Linked DNA regions of Danio rerio. The protein of the gene in region 1 binds, or shares a complex with, the protein of each later gene. Links are inferred from orthologs where the notes say so. Each region holds a gene or a part of one and is shown on either strand. Other genes may lie near its edges.

Region 1 (6,625 bases):
TGTAAGTTGTTAGATAACAAAATCTGACCTTGCAGGATTTCATCAGGCAGAACTGGATTGGACAGATAAATGTCAGTTTCTCTGGCAACATTAGCTTCTTTAAGACCCTCGACTAATCTTCTGTATTCTTCTCGAAGTTTGGCAGCATCTGTTTCTTTAATTCTTTAAAAGACAACAAGCAGAATGCAGGACATTAAACACATTAAAGGCATTAAGAAATGCAGAGGTTGCTTATTAATTCCCACTCTTTTGTCACACCTGCTAATGGTGTTTTGAAGGGTTTCCACATTGGTTTGGCAGCGATCCAGTGTCCTCCTGGTGATGTTGACGCTCATGGAATCAATACACACATTATCTAAAAGAAAACAATATGAGCTTAAATAACAATAATCTAGTCCACATGATGTATAAATCACAGTGATAAATATTGAAATGTGCTACTCACCAATGTTGTGAGCCTCATCGAACACGACAACTGATTTCTTTGCGAGCTCTTTCGAGACCAAGTCTGCGATTTTCGGATCTAGTAAGTAATGGTAGCTGTACACTACTATGTTTGCGTGAAGAAGCTGAATAAAGGAACATATGAGAGAGTGAAATAAATTACATGCACAGCAATTGCACATTATATTAACCTTAGCAAAGTACTCACTGCGTAACGTGCCAGGAAGTAAGGACACCAGCCTTTTCTACGCCCAAAGTCCTTCAGATCGTCCAAATTATATATACCAGGGGGAATGGGCACCTGTCTGCCTACATTATCAAATTCCTGCAAACAGGAACCAATTTCAAGCTATCATTATTTTTTTTTGTTTAAATGTGTTTATTATTATTATACTTTTTAAAAAACATTAAAATATAGAAAGAAACAGCAAAAATAGAAAGAAAAAATACACTTTACACTAGAAAAAAATAAAATAAAAAGTAAGAAAAACTGTGCCATGATTGTATATGCTTAGGAAATGTGTCCCACCTCATAAAACTGGCAGACAGGCTGATTTGGGTTACTCTGATGCTGCGCTCGAATATACGATGCTGTCAGACTGTGACATTTTCCATCTACTTCTTTTCCAAAACGCAGAGAGCTCACCTGTAGTCACACATTCAGTACTTTTTAATAAGATCACAGCACAGATTTTACTGAAATCACAGACAAATCTGCCCATTCAGCGGCCTCTACCTCAGGATGAATGCACAGGTTTTTCCTCGAGGAAAGTGCAAGGGCGAGGAAGTCGTTTTTTACTCCCGTTTGCTTTGAGTAATAATCCATCAGTTTCCTTAGCTCCTCCACAACCTGCAGGTAAATGAAAGATGCATAAAATAAAAATTAACATACGACATGTGTATTTAGAAAGCAAAAAAAAATGTATAAAAGGTAATAAACATCTATATCAAGTCAGTCAACAAAATACCTTCTCTATCTCAGGCACCGTGCGAGAGCAGTACACGAGCTTGGTGACTTCTAAAGGGTAAGTCTGTAAGAGATTAAACATTATATATATATATATATATATATATATATATATATATATATATATATATATATATATATATATATATATATATATATATATAATTATATATATAAATCAGGGATATTTTTAAAGCCATCAGACTGTCATTTAATAAAGTATTCAAATATTTAATCGTCGATCAAAATCCGTCACCTTCTGGTAAGCAACGATGAGCGAAAGAAGAGAAATAGTTTTTCCTGTTCCTGAGGGCATCTCCAGAACTCCATGACCCTTTACACACATAATAAAAACAAAATATGAAACAACTATACATAAGACAAACAATTTTTTTTTGTTTTTTATTGCTTTTTACTTTCACTCAGTCATGGCTCTGTTTAACATAAACATCCCATCCAACATCTCAGATAATGCGAGATTACAAAAAATGCATTCATAATCAGACTAAAAATGATGTGGTGAACTTTATTATTCCCACCAGGGGCAATTAAATTAGGGCAGTAGCATCATGATAACCTATAAATCCACACATTTGGTCTTTCTCCCTAATAATATACATTTCAGAAAAATATTCTTTGCAAATTCATATTTATAGGGAAACCATAATAGCATCCAATGACTTTTAAAGTACAACACTGTTCACTGTACAAAAAAGATTGTTTTGAAGTCATACTTACATAGGATTTTAGACCAAATATTCAAAGTACCATGGTAAAAAATAAAGGGAGGATGTCACGGAACGATTATGCGAATATAAAACCAACTTTACCTCAATAAAAATATTAGAGTAAAGCTGGTTTTATATTCACACATTCAGTCTTTCTCTCTAAAAATATTTTCAGAAAATTTTTCGGTCCCACTTTATATTAAGTGGCCTTTACTAACATGAACTTACACTGAAATTGAATCATTCGTTACACTTTACTTAATGAGTAAATATATGATTTTACATTGTACTTATGCTTGATTAAATATCTGCATGTAATTACATCTGTAATTAAATTCTGTAAGTACATTTATAATTACACTTTTTACCTGAACCAACTCTTAAACCAGCAAACCTTAAGACCACATTTCACTATACAAAAAAAGATTGCTAATGTTGTTTTGAAGTCATACTTACCTAGGATTGCAGACCAAATATTCAAAGTACCATGGTAAACAAAAAGGGAGCATGTCACTGAACAAATGTGTGAGTATAAAACCAACTTTATCTCAATTAAAACAGTAAAGTTGGTTTTATACCCACACATTCAGTCTTTTTCCCTAATATCATATTTTTAGAAAAATATTTTAGCAAACTCTAAATAGGGAAATCTTATTACCATGACTATCAAAGTACAACATTGTTCACTGCCTAAAAACATATAGCTAATGTTGTTTTGAAGTCATACTTTAATAGGATTTCACTCTGAATATTCAAATTACCATGGTAAACAATAAAGGGAGCATGTCACTGAACGAATGTGCTAATATAAAACCAACTTTACCTCAATTGTAAAAATAACGCTGTAAGAAGGAACAAAAAATACACTTTAAATTAGTTGTGTATCAACTATAGATGCATCTTTTGGCCTATGTCAAAACATCCAGCCACAATGTTAATATAGATCACTTCAATGTGGTGATATCTTTGGCCCATGAACATTTTCTGCTTGTTTCAAACTATTTCATAACTGTAACATGAGACAATTAAATCATAATTTAATGTTAAAACCGCTATCATGACATTATTTTACAATATATGGCTCTTTTTAAAATCTCAGAAAGTATGGACATTACAAATGGAAAACATGAAATACATTGAGACCATTGTTTTGGTTTACATCCCTGAAAATGGTCTATGTTGTTACATGATACAACATTAGTTTAATGTATGAGTGTCTGTGTATAAATACCTTTGCATCCAGCGTCCTCTTCAGCTCAAGCATATACGAGTATTGTTCGGGATAGATGTAGTCATACGGAAAGTAGACTAATAACCCGTCGATATTCAGCCTAATAGGATCAAATAGACATTAACGTTAGAGGAAAAACAAAACTTGTGTTAAATGAACAGCGGTTTGGGCCATTACCAGTCTGCAGATTTGCAGCAATGCTAACGTTAACAGTTAAAATTTACCGTTTACTTACTTCATGTTTGCTGGTATTGTTTCTCTGCAGCACTTAAGTGTTTCTCGTATTCAGTTTTGTATGTTTCCACACATTAATATAACTGTCATGAACGCATTACACAAAAAGACTTCTATCGAGGTACACAAGCGATCTCGGTAGCGTAAAACGCTGTCGCAGTGAAAGTGCGTAATCTATTTTGCTTAATTGATTGGTTGTTCGCTTCAAAGCCCGCCTTATCCTGTCAGCTCATTGGATGACACGCACGTCATGTCAATCCCTTGACGGAAGTACATTTGTCACCATTGGGGTTAATCAAAAAATATATATATAGAAAAGAAGTCCGCACTAAACTTTCGCTAAAATTGTGTAGGTTGTAATTTTCTTCACTACAAATATGACTGATTTTTTAAAACAAACAACAGTATTTTTTTCATGAAAAGTAAAATTTGATCAATTAAAAATATAGCCTATCACAGATTACACTAAATTATACTGTATTTTAAATAAACAAAGAAAAAAGAATGAAAAAAGCTAAGAAAAACGAAAAGCAGGTACAATTAGAGTGCATTGTAAACAAACAAGAAAAAAATAAAAACAAACAGAAAAGAGAAAAGCAAGTAGAGTACACTTAACTTACATTCATTCATTTTCCTTCAGCTTAGTCCCTTTATTCATCAGAGGTTGCTAAAGCGGAATGAATTAAAGATCTGAACTTCCCATCACTACTGTGTGTCTAACCTTAGAGGCAGCCATGCACACGATTTTACTTAAGGCTATCTTGTGGGCTGTTGTATTTGAATTTGAAGATGAGTAGGTGGTAGTGGTAGATGATAGTGGTCATGTGTCCTGTGAAAACATGTTTCAAAAAATTATTGTTGAGTTTTTATTTTACAATATTTATTGTATTTTGTACAATATTTATTGATTTTGAATCTTGTACATAGCAAATATCCCAATGTGCAAAAATAAATAAATAAATAAACAAAACTAAGCAACTATAAAATATGGAAACTAATAAAAACTAGTAAATCTACCTCTAAAAACTAATTAAAACTGATTTTGAAAACAAAAAGTCAAAACAAAATAAAAACTAAAACCAATAAAAAATCCAAAACTATAATAACCTTGCTGTGGAGGAAACCCACGCGAACAAGAGAAGAACATGCAAATTCCACACAGAAATGCCAACTGACCCAGCTGTGCTTCGAACCAGCGACCTTCTTGCTGTGAGGCGACAATGCTAACCACTGAGCCACTACTACTAAGCCCCCCTTCTAAAATGACATTTTTTAATACATATGAGGGGAAAAAAGAGAAAGAACCAAAGAAATGAGAACATTTTTCATTATTAATACAGGGGCATATTTTATATAATATATTTTATTTACATAAACATTTTTAAATCATATATTACAATGCAATAAAATATACAGTATTTCACCCTAACAAAGATTCATCTTCATGAAGTGATTTCCTTCGTACTCATAGGCCGGGTAAAGACCACAGTTTAGACATATTAAAATATTTGTATAAATCCATTTTGGGTCATTCTTTGACAATATTCACCTCAACAGAATAAAACTATACTTTCTAAACCTTTATGACAAACTTCCTGATATAACTACAGAGCCAAAATCCCAATTCCCTTCCCTGTAAAACGCAGCTTAATAAGTAACATCAAATATAAAAACAAACAAATTTTAATGCTCGATTATTTAACATATCCAATTGGGTCAAAATGACCAAAGCATCACATCACTGCTTTTGTGATGCCATCCACAGTTATAGCGTTAGCGTTCATCATGCTGTTCATTACTGTCATGACCTCTTCACCTTATGCAGATGAACTGATCACTGTATTTTTACAATGACAGAGTTGAAGTTATAAAGTTTATTGCCTGTTTTAGATGATTGCATCTAGGATCTGAATCAGCACTTTCAAGTCCGAGGCCATGGTGCTCCACCAGAAAAAGTTGTTTTGCCATCTTCAGGTTGGAGGAAAGTCTTTACCCCAGGTAGAGGAGCTCAAGCATCTTGGGGTTTTGTTCACGAGTGAGGGAAGGATGGAGCATGAGAGAGGCGGATTGGTGCAGCGGCAGCAGTAATGCGGTCAATGTACTTGTCCGTTGTGGTAAAGAAGTAGCTAAGTCGAAAGGCAAAGCTCTCGATTTACCGGTCAATCTACAATCCTACTCTTACCTATGGTCATGAGCTTTGGGTCCTGACCGAAAGGACAAGATCTCGGATACAAGTTACCAAAATGAGTTTCCTTCGCAGGGTTGCAGGGTTCACCCTTATAGATAGGGTGAGGAGCTCTGTCAACCAGGAGGAGCTCGGAGTAGAACCACTGCTCCTCCACATCGAGAGAAGTCAGCTGAGGTGGCTTGGGCATCTGTTTCGGATGCCTCCTGGACACCTACCTAGGGAGGTGTTCCAGACATGTCCCACCGGGAGGAGGCCTTGAGGAAGACCTAGGACACGCTGGAGGGACTGTGTCTCTTGGCTGGCCTGGGAACGCCTCGGGATCCCCACGGAGGAGCTGGAGGAAGTGTCTGGGGAGAGGGAAGACCTTAAGGCTGCTGCCCCCGCGACCCAGAAAAGCAGTTGAAAATGAATAAATGAATGAATGAATGAAGAAAATTGCATGTGGATAAAAATACTCTACTGGCACAACCAGATATTTTGCTAACATCCCAGTCCATTCAAAGTTCTTTAAAACAGGAATACCAAGATGGCTGACACCAGACATGATGCAATTTCAAACGTATGCAAACTGAGCTGGATGCGATGCTTTTGAAGCGCACACCTAATCCCCGCTCTTAACCCTTACTCCTCACAAAGACGTCACTAGCTCTATTGAGTGCATTGTGTCTGAGATTGCATGTCCCAGCTTGCATATGCAAGTCTGCAGTTAGACACTATTAAATATTTTAGCATCTGAAGAATTCCCCTTATATCTCATGTCTCTCCTCCATGCTCTTATAACGGTCCATGATCCTAAGAACGTCCTCCAAAATGGATGGCCCCAAATCCAGGTC
Region 2 (5,321 bases), on another chromosome or scaffold:
AAATCCAGGCATAACACTATGACAGGTATGACAACGCTTCAGATGACTGTTAGCCAACAGTTAATCAATCTGTCAGATTCTGGAGTGCATTACAGCTATAATGAATATAATAAATGAACTTAAAAAAACAAATACATTTATAGAGATGGGATATAAATATATAATTTTACTCACCTGGGAAATTAAGGCCACTTTAACAGTTTGTGAGCACAATTAAGTGCACACAGCATGCCATACTATCTGATAATTGTAGGAAATAATTCCAAAAGACAAATGACTGTGTAAAGCCAAAAAAAAACAATAATAAAAATACAATGTATATGCCAAGTTCAGCAGCTAATCAGTCGGAATCAGCTGAGGTGAAGTGACGTGACCAGCAAAAGACACTCAAGTGGCCACTCCCTTAATTATGCAGACTTAATTAAACCTAATAAATGCTAAACGGATGAGTAATAAAAAAATTCAGCCCCTCACAGTTGTCATGAAGAGTAGTATTAGCTATAAGCACCAAAACCATCTATTGTACCAGGCTTTAAACATGTTTTTATCAGCTGTAAAATTGGCCAGTTTAGCATTGCAGTCAGAGAACATGTGGAGTTGCTGGAGCAAGCCCCCAGAGGAGAGTCTATGTATTTTGTATTGGCTTCCCAATGGAGAGCCGGAGGTTGCTGCTTGGTTTTTACAGCGTACATAAGACGCCCTTATTCTGAAGTGTTGTAAAAGCTAAAATATAAGATGGTTTTGGGATATACATAATAATCATATTGCTATTAGCATTATATGTGCATAATATGTGTTATACATGTAGAGCTTTGCATGGTCAAGCACCCCAATATATTCAAGATCTATGGAACTCTCTCCCTATAGCACTGAGAACTCTGGGATCAGTTGATCTTTTTAAAAAGCATTTAAAGACGCATTGTTTTGGTCAAGCATTTAATTCATAGTATTAGTGTTTCTGTATTTGGATTTTTTACTTGTTTTAATGTGTTTTAACATGTTTTCTTTTATTGATATGTGTTCTTTTACTTGTTTTCTCTAATTGTAAAGCTATTTGTTACTCAACGTCTAGGAAAGGTGCTACATAAATAAATATTTTCTTGCTTACTTACTTTTACTTTTTAAAGATTATACCTCACACATTTTGAAGGAGTTTTCTCAACACCAGCCCGCCACTAAAACAAAAGAAGAAGAAAGTTTTCGTATGTTGCTCATTTCGCTTCACGGAACGTTTCCTATAACCTTGTTTTCACCCGAGCGTGTTAGAAAGACGCAACACGGAAGTCTATCTGTTATAAGCCGCGCAAGAGGAACGTGTGTAGCGTGCGAGATTGTTTTGGTAATGTTTTCTAATTTGCTCGCTTCTTTAGTCAAAATGAGAGGGTGTAATATTTGGGGTTTAGTTTTGAGTTCGCATATAAGGAAATAATCTCGAGCTGAACCGCACTGTCACGTATTCAGTGTTACTGTATGTTGCTGTAGACTGCTTCAGTGTTACATTCTTGTGTACATTTATAGCTCAACATCTATTAAGTTACTGAGTTTTGTGTTACTTGTATTCGTTATTACGCAGTCTGAATTGCACAAACTTGTGTGTTATTAAATAAACCTCTACATTTTTTTTTCAATTCAGGCAACTCGTCCTTCATCATGATCATCCCTGTTCGCTGCTTCACTTGTGGGAAAATTGTTGGGAACAAATGGGAGGCGTATTTGGGTCTCCTTCAAGCGGAGTATACAGAAGGGTACGTTTATGAAACTAAAATGTGTCCTAAATTCGTTTGTTTATTTATTTATTTATTTGTTTGTTTGGCTAAGGAGTAAAGCACTCCTTACTAGTCCTCTTTACTAACTTTAGTCAAAATATTGTGTTTGGGGTGCTCATGCGGACCGGTTGACTGGCAGCACGAATTTTGCCAGATTAATATGATTAATGTTATTATACAGATTACTATTATTATTAACAAAATAAAGCCAGCATTGGCCTTACATACAAGCATCAAACCAAACTGAATTTAAACAGATTTATTAAAAACCTGAAAAACGACTCTAAGTTAAAGATTAATTGTGATTAGCCACATCCAAAATAAAAGTTTGTTTTGACATAAGCAATACTTGTGCATTATATATATTTATATAATTATTGTGTATGTGAAATACACTCATGCATAAAGGTATAGATTTTGCATAGATATTTAAAATTTATTATTTGCATCATATATATTTTATATGTAAATATAAATAATTATTTCCTTAAATGTATGCATCTTTATGTTTATATGTCCATAATAAGCATACACAATACACACACGTATTATGTAAAAAAAAAAAAAACATTTTTTTATGCGATTAATCACGATTAATTTTCCCCCAGCACTATGTGAAATACATCTTATAATTGAAAAACACCTGCAGCTAAAACAAACATTTTTAAGGAAATCTTTTATACATCAGCTATGACTATATTGAACAAATGACCATGAAGTAGTTTATATGTTGTTCTGTGACACTGTGAATCTGTTTGTGGTTTTAGAAACAGGGTTGTGTGTTGGTAATCCATGGTGTAGGAAGCCATATGATGTTTAGTAACATTTTGTGAGGCCAAATATGAATTTCCACATGTGTGGACAATAAAGACTGCTCATCTTTCTAATTAGAATTCTAATCTTTGGTCATACAGGCACATAGAAAAGCACCTTGTTATTTAAGTAATTCCCACAGCACTAAATTTCATTTAAAAAAAAAGTGCTGCTAGTTAATTATTATGGCTCAGATCATTATTTTGTCTGATTTTTTTCTTTTGTGGCAAGTTGCCATGTTATAAGTAAGATAATGTACTTACAATTGGCTATGCAAAAAAGCCATTCAGTCTTATAGGGCCATGAAACCTCCTTGTTTCAGAGGGTGTTTTCACACCTCTACTTTGGAAAAAGTCAGGAAAGTGGGCGTGTCCAGCTCTGTTTAGGAGGGAGTGTCGGAGGAGCAAATTAAAGAGGGTTCTGTAAAAATTTGCATAAAAATGGGAGTGTCATTTTGGGCACGTGCTGATTTTCAGAGTCAAAACACACACACACACACACACACAGGGGAGAAAGACTGACTGTGTTTACGTGGACATCAGTAATCAAATTATTTGACAAATTATTAAATGGTGGACATTAACTGCAGTTTGGCTCTTTTATTCAGGGAATATCTTCATGCCCCTCGTGACAAACGAGGTATTTGATTTGAGGAACTGCTCTAAGCTTGTATCTTTCATGCAATGTTTGATACGGCACAGCAAATGAGGGAAAAAAAACCTCTGAATTTCTCAATAACTTAGATGCACTCGGCAGGTAGGGTCAGAAAGTCGTGTGTGTTACTCCTGTCACAAAATGCAGTGAAAATCCTACACGATGGTAAGTTTGATTGTGGTGCTAACATGTTCACACTCCGTGTAACAGTTAGTTCGATACAAACTAACTTTGCCATCTGAAAAAGCAAAGGGCACTGTTCGCTCCCTTATCAAATCTGTAGAGACAGGACAAACAACACCAACTAGAGCCGCGTCTTTATTAAGAGGAGACGAGCGGCAAATCCGGATCTCACCATTTCCAGATGAGAAAAGTTCTCGGGTAAAAAAAAAAAAAAGTTCCTTAGACATGCATTGTTGTCGCATGCACTGTAATCCACACGTGGTCCAGCTGTGCGCTCATACAGAGAAAATGAAAACAAAACCTTCACTGCAGCAAATTATAAAAGCAACCCTTCACGCTTGTTTTGCCAACATAATGTGGCGTCTCTGCTGTCTGAACACTGTAACATTAATGAATGTTAGTGAAGTTGCACAATAGAGTGCGCTGATTGGTTTGAACCGAATCTTACTCGTGCATTAATGCAGCACACTTATAGACGTAATAAGACACTCCCAGGTACAGACGTCCAGTCTACACGCTGGAATACACGCTAAGATCTCATGGCCGTGACGCAGCTTAAAAAAATTGTTACAAACCGGAAGTACGAATTAGCTAGAAATAACGCAAAAACAACCAATTTTCACTTTTTAGTGAGATATATGTGTCTTAATAGTGTTTTTAGCAGTGTGGGACACTTATATGACTGTCAACAGCTCAAAAAATGTGTTTTGGTGTTTTGTGACCCTTTAAAAAATAGATTTTGTTTTTCATGAACAACTGGCTAGATGCATATTATCCTTTAAACCTTGTGCTGCAGGAGATGTTTTCATCTGCTTTGGGTGATTTTAAAGCTTAATTACGCCCCAACTTTCTCTGTTTCAGCAAATTGAATTATTTTTGGAGACAAATCTTATTTTGACACGCATTTTGGGAAAATGCTTTGAAAAGTTTTAAGACGTTTAACAATTACACTCTGGGCAAATTGACTACCCTTTCATTATGTTGCTGGCTGTTTTTACCCAATTTACTTCCATTGTAATGACATTTTTATGATTGCAAATTCATGACACCATATAATCATGCATTCTTGATTGTTGGAGGTTTTCCCTATTGGGAAGAGATAATTTTTGCCGATGATCATCAGTTGGCAGCATTAACCCTTTAGATAGGCTTGTGCAACAGAAGTTTCTGGCTTTTATATGGAATTCTGTGGAGAAAAACAACTAATTATAAAAGTGCATGCATAAATACACTTACTATGTTAACTATGCTCTGAGAGCTGATCAGCTGGTTTTGATTTTCTCCGATATATCAAGATAAGTGTGCAAAGGTCTCTCTCTTACACACACCATATACTCCATATAAAAACCAGGAACTAAGAATGTTTGCTCTGCAACCTGTTGATCAATTGTAAAAATTGATTCCTGCATCCTAACAGGGAAACCAGCTATATTTAAGAGTGCATGATTATATGGTTTCATGGCTTTGCAATCAAAAAATGTCATTATAATGAAAGTCGATGGGGAAAAAACAGCCTCAAACATAACGAAAGTGTAGTCAATTTGCCCAGAGTGTAATTGTTGAATTTTTGAAAATTTTCACAGCATTTTCCCAAAATATGAGAAAATAAGATTGTCCCCAAAAATCTTAACATTTTCTGAAACGGAGAAAGTTGTGGCCAAATTTAGGGTGTACTCACATTAGGTACTGTACAGTTGCCTTGAACCATGCCGAAGCGCGATTGTCCCATCGTACTGCACTCACATTGCATTTTTTAGCTACCGAACCTGAGCATGCATGCGTCATCGATGATGTGACTGTTCAGTTTAACAGAAAAAAGCTCAGCACTGGGGAGATTGCTTTAGTTATATCGTTTGAGTGTCACGCAGTCCAACATTTCCACGAGAAGATCAGCCACTTTTGACG
Region 3 (5,205 bases), on another chromosome or scaffold:
AATTTTTAAATGGCCCAGATGGAAAAGTTTTTTTATTTGACCTCTCAAAAAAAAAAAAAACTATAATTCAGTACATTTAATAACACAATAATGAACTATTCAAATGTATTATTTTTTTTCTAAGCTAAATATTTTAAATATTGTGTAAAAACAAACAATCTCTTGTATTTTTCCCCAACATAAACCTTCTTTAAATTAAAAAATACACTAAATCTATGGACAACAATCTGTCGGTGTCCTCGGCAGTAAATAGATGAAGAACCTTTAAACAAATGTTATTGTAAGGAAAATATTTAAATCGTTAAGATAGAGTTAAAAATGACCTTTTTATATACAAAGTTTATAGTTTTATTGAGATGGATTGTTGGTGATTGTATGGGTTTTGGCCAGACTGGGTAGGTATACATGAACAAAGGAAAATTAAGACCCGTTTAAAAGATTTAAGACCTACAACAAAATATTTCACTAAATTCAAGACTGTTAAGGCCTAAAATTTGGATTTTGAGAGGCATTTTAAGGCCCTGCAGAAACCCTAAATACCGTATATCAGAATATGATAGATTTGTTCATATTTCTGACATTTCTGACTCCTAAATATCCATTAGCAAGTACATGCATATTTATAAACAATGTGAATACTTCCATGAAGGTTGTATCAAATTATAACAATGTTGTGTTATATATATTATGTAACAACTATTGTGAGATATTAAAAACAAAAACATTTAAATGTTATTTATAAATGCACTTTATTCCTGTCTGTGATGCAAAACTGAATTTCCAGCATCATTACTCCAGTGTCACATGAAACATTAGAAATCAATCACTCTATTTTGACAATTTGCTGTTCTTTTATGATTATTCATGATCAGCTCAATTATTAATTGGAGCAATTTTTACCAAAACACTGAAACTGTTTCTACATTTTTTTGTGTAAGCATTAAGTAAGTATTTTAGAGTACTTTAGAAATGCTCAAATGTCGTTGATGTTTTTAAAACAATTATATTTGATTTAACAAAGTCACATGAGTGGTAATTTCATATATGAGACATCCATAACCAAGCTTTTCCCTCATGAATGCAAAACTATTTAATAAAATAAAGTCAATCTTGCTTGTTCTACAGAGAGCCACCTCTTATCCTTTTGATAAGCATTGTTTCTTTTGGGTTGTGCAATTTAATTCACATAATTTCTACATAGTATGTTTTATACTGTAAACTCACTAACTTTTTTGGTCACATGCATAATGCACGTTTATTTTCCTCAAAACATTTTCACAGATTAATATTTTCCTCATACTATAACTCTGTGGTTAGTTGTTGAAAAATATAAACAGATGTTTCAATATAATGTTAACATATGTGAATTTATATGTTTCTACTGCAAATGCCACATCCAGAATGCTGGAACTGCTTTATGATGGTTCCTATGAATGTTAAGCATTACTTCATTCATTTATTATAAGTATTTCAGCATAAAAGTAGCATTTTACAATGATCTTTGGCAGCTTGAGGAATGCTAAAAAAAACAATGAAATTACATCCTTACACTTGGTTCAAATGTATGAACATTTAAATGTCATTATCATCATTAAGACATTTATTTAGCCAAAATGGACAACTGTTCAAAATATTGAAACAATTTAGGATTTCCTTTAATAAAAATTGAAAATCTATGTGTAAAGTTGCTTTTAGATGATTAATAGAAGATATAAAATTAAGAATCTGACAGAATGGCGATCAATTCCAGCATTATGGATGTGACATTAGCAGCAAAAACCCAAAACTTTAATTTATTAAGAAAGTATATGTTAACATTTAATAACATTTGTTTATATTTTTCAAAACTACCAAACAGAGTTATTGGATCAGATAAAATATCTATCTGTATACATTGTATATATTTTAAATGAGAAAAATAAACGTGTTATGGATGTGACCAAAAAAAGTTAGCGAGTTTACAGTACAAACATACTTTGTAGAAATTCTGTCAATTAAACTGCACAACCCAAGAGAAATAATGGTAATCAAAAGGATAAGAGCTGGCCCACTATAGAATAAACATGATTGATTTTATTTTAATCGACGTTTTAGCATTTATGAGGGAAAGCTTCATTATGGATGTGACATCTCCGTTATGGATAGGACAGATGTGAAATTGGCACTTGTGTAACTGCGCTTAATCAAATAACTCCTTGAAAACAAAGACAAACATTTTTTTTTATTTTTTAGTACTGTAATATTCTTGCTTACACCAAAAATGTAGAAACAGTTTCCCTATTTTGGTTGTAGCTTCATTTTTCATGGCAAGGTTGACATTGCATGGAATTGCTCTGGTATACTTTTGTTATTTTGCTTTTTTAAAAAGTCAAGACATTTCTGAAGAAGAATAAAATTACTCAAACATCACTAAAAATGAAGTCCAGGCAAACTTAGAAATACGAACTTCAGTCATTTTTCCCCATATAGGCAATTATATATCCGTGTATATACACAGCTATATCGACTTGTATCTATACATTATTACTCAAATGTGTGCCTAAAGACTTTTGGTGGTTGACAAATACAAAAAAGGGGGTAATAAACAAATATATTCTACACTTGTCTTTATTGTACAGTTTGTTACAGTAGTGTACTAATTAAAGCACGTCAGGGATTCAAACAACACAATGCATGACGTAACTACGTAACAAAAACACCGATGTGTTTTTGTAGCGATTCTTTGTAATGAATCGTTCAAATGACATCCGCGGACACGAGTCCGACGTCCCGTTCAGCATTTGGACTGCTGGAAGCCCTATAAATACACACATGGGCTTCTTTAACATGTCCAATGCGGTTGCTGACTGTCGGAACGCGAATCATCCGTTTTGAGAGCACAGAAATAGCAGCACCCTTTAAAACTCTGATAAACGCGTGCGACGAAACCGAAAAACAACCCTGAAACGCATGCGCTTCCGGCAGCTGTCGACGCGATATGAGTAAAAAAGGTCCTTCTGTGTCTAATAAACACCATCGTTAATGTTGTATCGCTAAAAGCGAAGAGCAGCTCCCCGCATCACGTCTTGTCCGTACCGCGCGGCCGGTCCGCTCACTATTTAAAGCACAGTCTGGCGTTTATATGCACAGCCCGTGACGTAGCGCCGAGAAGCACCTTCCCATCCCGGGCAGTCTATATTAGAGCGTCGCTATGGCTGTATAAAACCAGCGACGGAAAGAAGGAGGGTCAGAGGCAACGGTAGCCATGATGAAACAGCATCGCCTGCACTGCGGAGGCTTCCGTGAACGTGAAAAACGTCTCGTATGAGGGTTTATAACCAAGGGATTCAGTTTTATATATTTTTTGGGGGGATGAATATTAAGATTCAAATTATGTAGGAAGGTTTTTAACACGCAGGACAAAACTTATATCCTGATATACATACAAAAACGAGCCGTTTTGGCTCAATTTCAGATGCATTTGTCGGGATCAAAGGGTGCTTTAGTAACAAACTAATATCGACGTATACTCGGATGACTGAATGGTCAAACACGGCAACAAAGCAGCAAGTCCGTGTTAGCTCAACAGAAATGCAATTTCTAGCACGTAATACTTAAAGCTGTGGATTCAAGCCACTGTGTTGTTTTCTTTCTCTATATAATCAGCAAACACTCACACACTTCCCTACAAAGCCCTCGACTGGAGCAGACCTGATAGGTGTACGTGTGTCTAAACGCTTTATTGTTGAAATAAACATGTGGGTTTGGTTAAAATGTTCTGCGTATCTCTCTCTATATATATATATATCTACAATGCTTGGACACGTGTGTGATTTCGAGAATGAGTGCCGTTTGTCTGATCCTTACCACTTGGTTCGAGTTAGCCGAGCTCGCCATTATGAGCGCAGTGAGGGGGAAAAACACACCGCGAATATCAAGCAAGGAGCCCCAGAAGCATTAAAAAAAGCACGGAAACATCTAAAACGTTTAAAAAGTTGACGGTTAAAGTTTCGGGAAATAAAAACACAGCTCTTTACGGTCTTATTCACAGTCCCAGGGCTGCAGCTCCCCAGCCGTCCGTCTTCTCCAGTCCTCCGCCTTTATATACGGAGCTGCGCGAGACACAGGGCAGGGTCAAGCGGGCATTGAGCGAAACATCGCGAGATCTCGACGAGAGCTCTTACCGTGCAGTCAGCTGATCCTAGATCATTCGCTGCGGAGGCGCGACCAAAACAGACAAGAGGTTTTTTCCTGCATAAGAAACTAACTTAATGTTACGCTATTTGCAGTTGTTGATTATTAAGCTTGATAATTTTTTATGAGACCAGATTTAAGACGAAATTATGTTTTAATCAATGTAAAAGTGTAACAGCCTTATTTCTCCCTCATTACAATGTTTCTGAGAGAAAATACTATCGTGCATTCAGTAAAATCTTTTAATATGCTTTACATGCATTGTTGCGGGTAACGCATTACAAGTAACGCGAGTTAAATAATAATATTACTTCTCTAAGTAACGAGTAAAGTAACGCATTACTTTTCAAAATTAAGTAACAATATCTGAGTTACTTTTTTAAAAAATGGAATGTGAGTTACTTTTTTAAATTAAGTTAATTAACTTTAAAAAAATTTGCTGACAACATTAAATCCCGCACACAATGAGAGGAACAGAGATAAACGAAGAATTAAGGCAGAGCCTTATATTATTATATATATTATTACTTTTTAATAAGGAAAAAAGTAAAAAAGTAACGAACATGTTGTTATAAACTTTCAGTCTTCTGTATAGCCTACGGGCAGGGTGCAAATTATACATTGACGGGGGTGGGGGTTGGTCAAGATTTTGTAGTTATGTTCAGTAATATGCCTTAGTGAACCCAATTCATATATTTCATTCAACTACATCTAATTTAACAATCAAACTGTTATTATGTTTTCAGTGTTTTGAGGAATATTAAGTTTATTGACATTTGTGATATTAAATAAACGGTGACAGGTTTGCCTAAAAGTAGCTTAAAGTGACATTTCAAGGCTTAACTTGGCTAACTGGGTAGGCAGGTTAGAGTATAGCCAAGATATTGTATAATGATGGTTTGTTCTGTAAACTATCAAAACATATAGCTTAAAGGTGCTAATAATTTTGACCTTAAAATTGATTTTAAAAAATTAAAAAACGTTTTTATTCTAGCCAAAATAAAACAAACAAAACTTTCTCCAGAAAAAAAT

What was found. Proteins that work in one complex are often made in the same cells at the same time.
Region 2: ercc2 (region 1) and polr2l share a complex: the UniProt entries of both Homo sapiens proteins name them as parts of the TBP-based Pol II pre-initiation complex. The link is inferred for Danio rerio from reciprocal best matches to the Homo sapiens genes ERCC2 and POLR2L.
Region 3: ercc2 (region 1) and gtf2a1 share a complex: the UniProt entries of both Homo sapiens proteins name them as parts of the TBP-based Pol II pre-initiation complex. The link is inferred for Danio rerio from reciprocal best matches to the Homo sapiens genes ERCC2 and GTF2A1.

Annotation. Positions count from the first base shown.
Region 1 is NC_133190.1:26,155,364-26,161,988, forward strand, and holds the start of ercc2 (general transcription and DNA repair factor IIH helicase subunit XPD), read right to left. Parts: upstream 3,798-6,625; 5' UTR 3,611-3,797; coding exon 3,606-3,610; intron 3,471-3,605; coding exon 3,371-3,470; intron 1,746-3,370; coding exon 1,668-1,745; intron 1,476-1,667; coding exon 1,413-1,475; intron 1,295-1,412; coding exon 1,181-1,294; intron 1,091-1,180; coding exon 974-1,090; intron 770-973; coding exon 653-769; intron 570-652; coding exon 446-569; intron 356-445; coding exon 259-355; intron 163-258; coding exon 29-162; intron 1-28. Other genes in the region: zgc:154093 (uncharacterized protein LOC777623), read right to left, coding at 6,539-6,625. UniProt on the Homo sapiens protein: ATP-dependent 5'-3' DNA helicase. Component of the general transcription and DNA repair factor IIH (TFIIH) core complex, not absolutely essential for minimal transcription in vitro.
Region 2 is NC_133182.1:13,340,304-13,345,624, reverse strand, and holds the start of polr2l (DNA-directed RNA polymerases I, II, and III subunit RPABC5), read left to right. Parts: upstream 1-1,265; 5' UTR 1,266-1,339; intron 1,340-1,633; 5' UTR 1,634-1,650; coding exon 1,651-1,745; intron 1,746-5,321. UniProt on the Homo sapiens protein: DNA-dependent RNA polymerase catalyzes the transcription of DNA into RNA using the four ribonucleoside triphosphates as substrates.
Region 3 is NC_133195.1:17,672,199-17,677,403, forward strand, and holds the start of gtf2a1 (transcription initiation factor IIA subunit 1), read right to left. Parts: upstream 4,057-5,205; 5' UTR 3,877-4,056; coding exon 3,847-3,876; intron 1-3,846. UniProt on the Homo sapiens protein: TFIIA is a component of the transcription machinery of RNA polymerase II and plays an important role in transcriptional activation. TFIIA in a complex with TBP mediates transcriptional activity.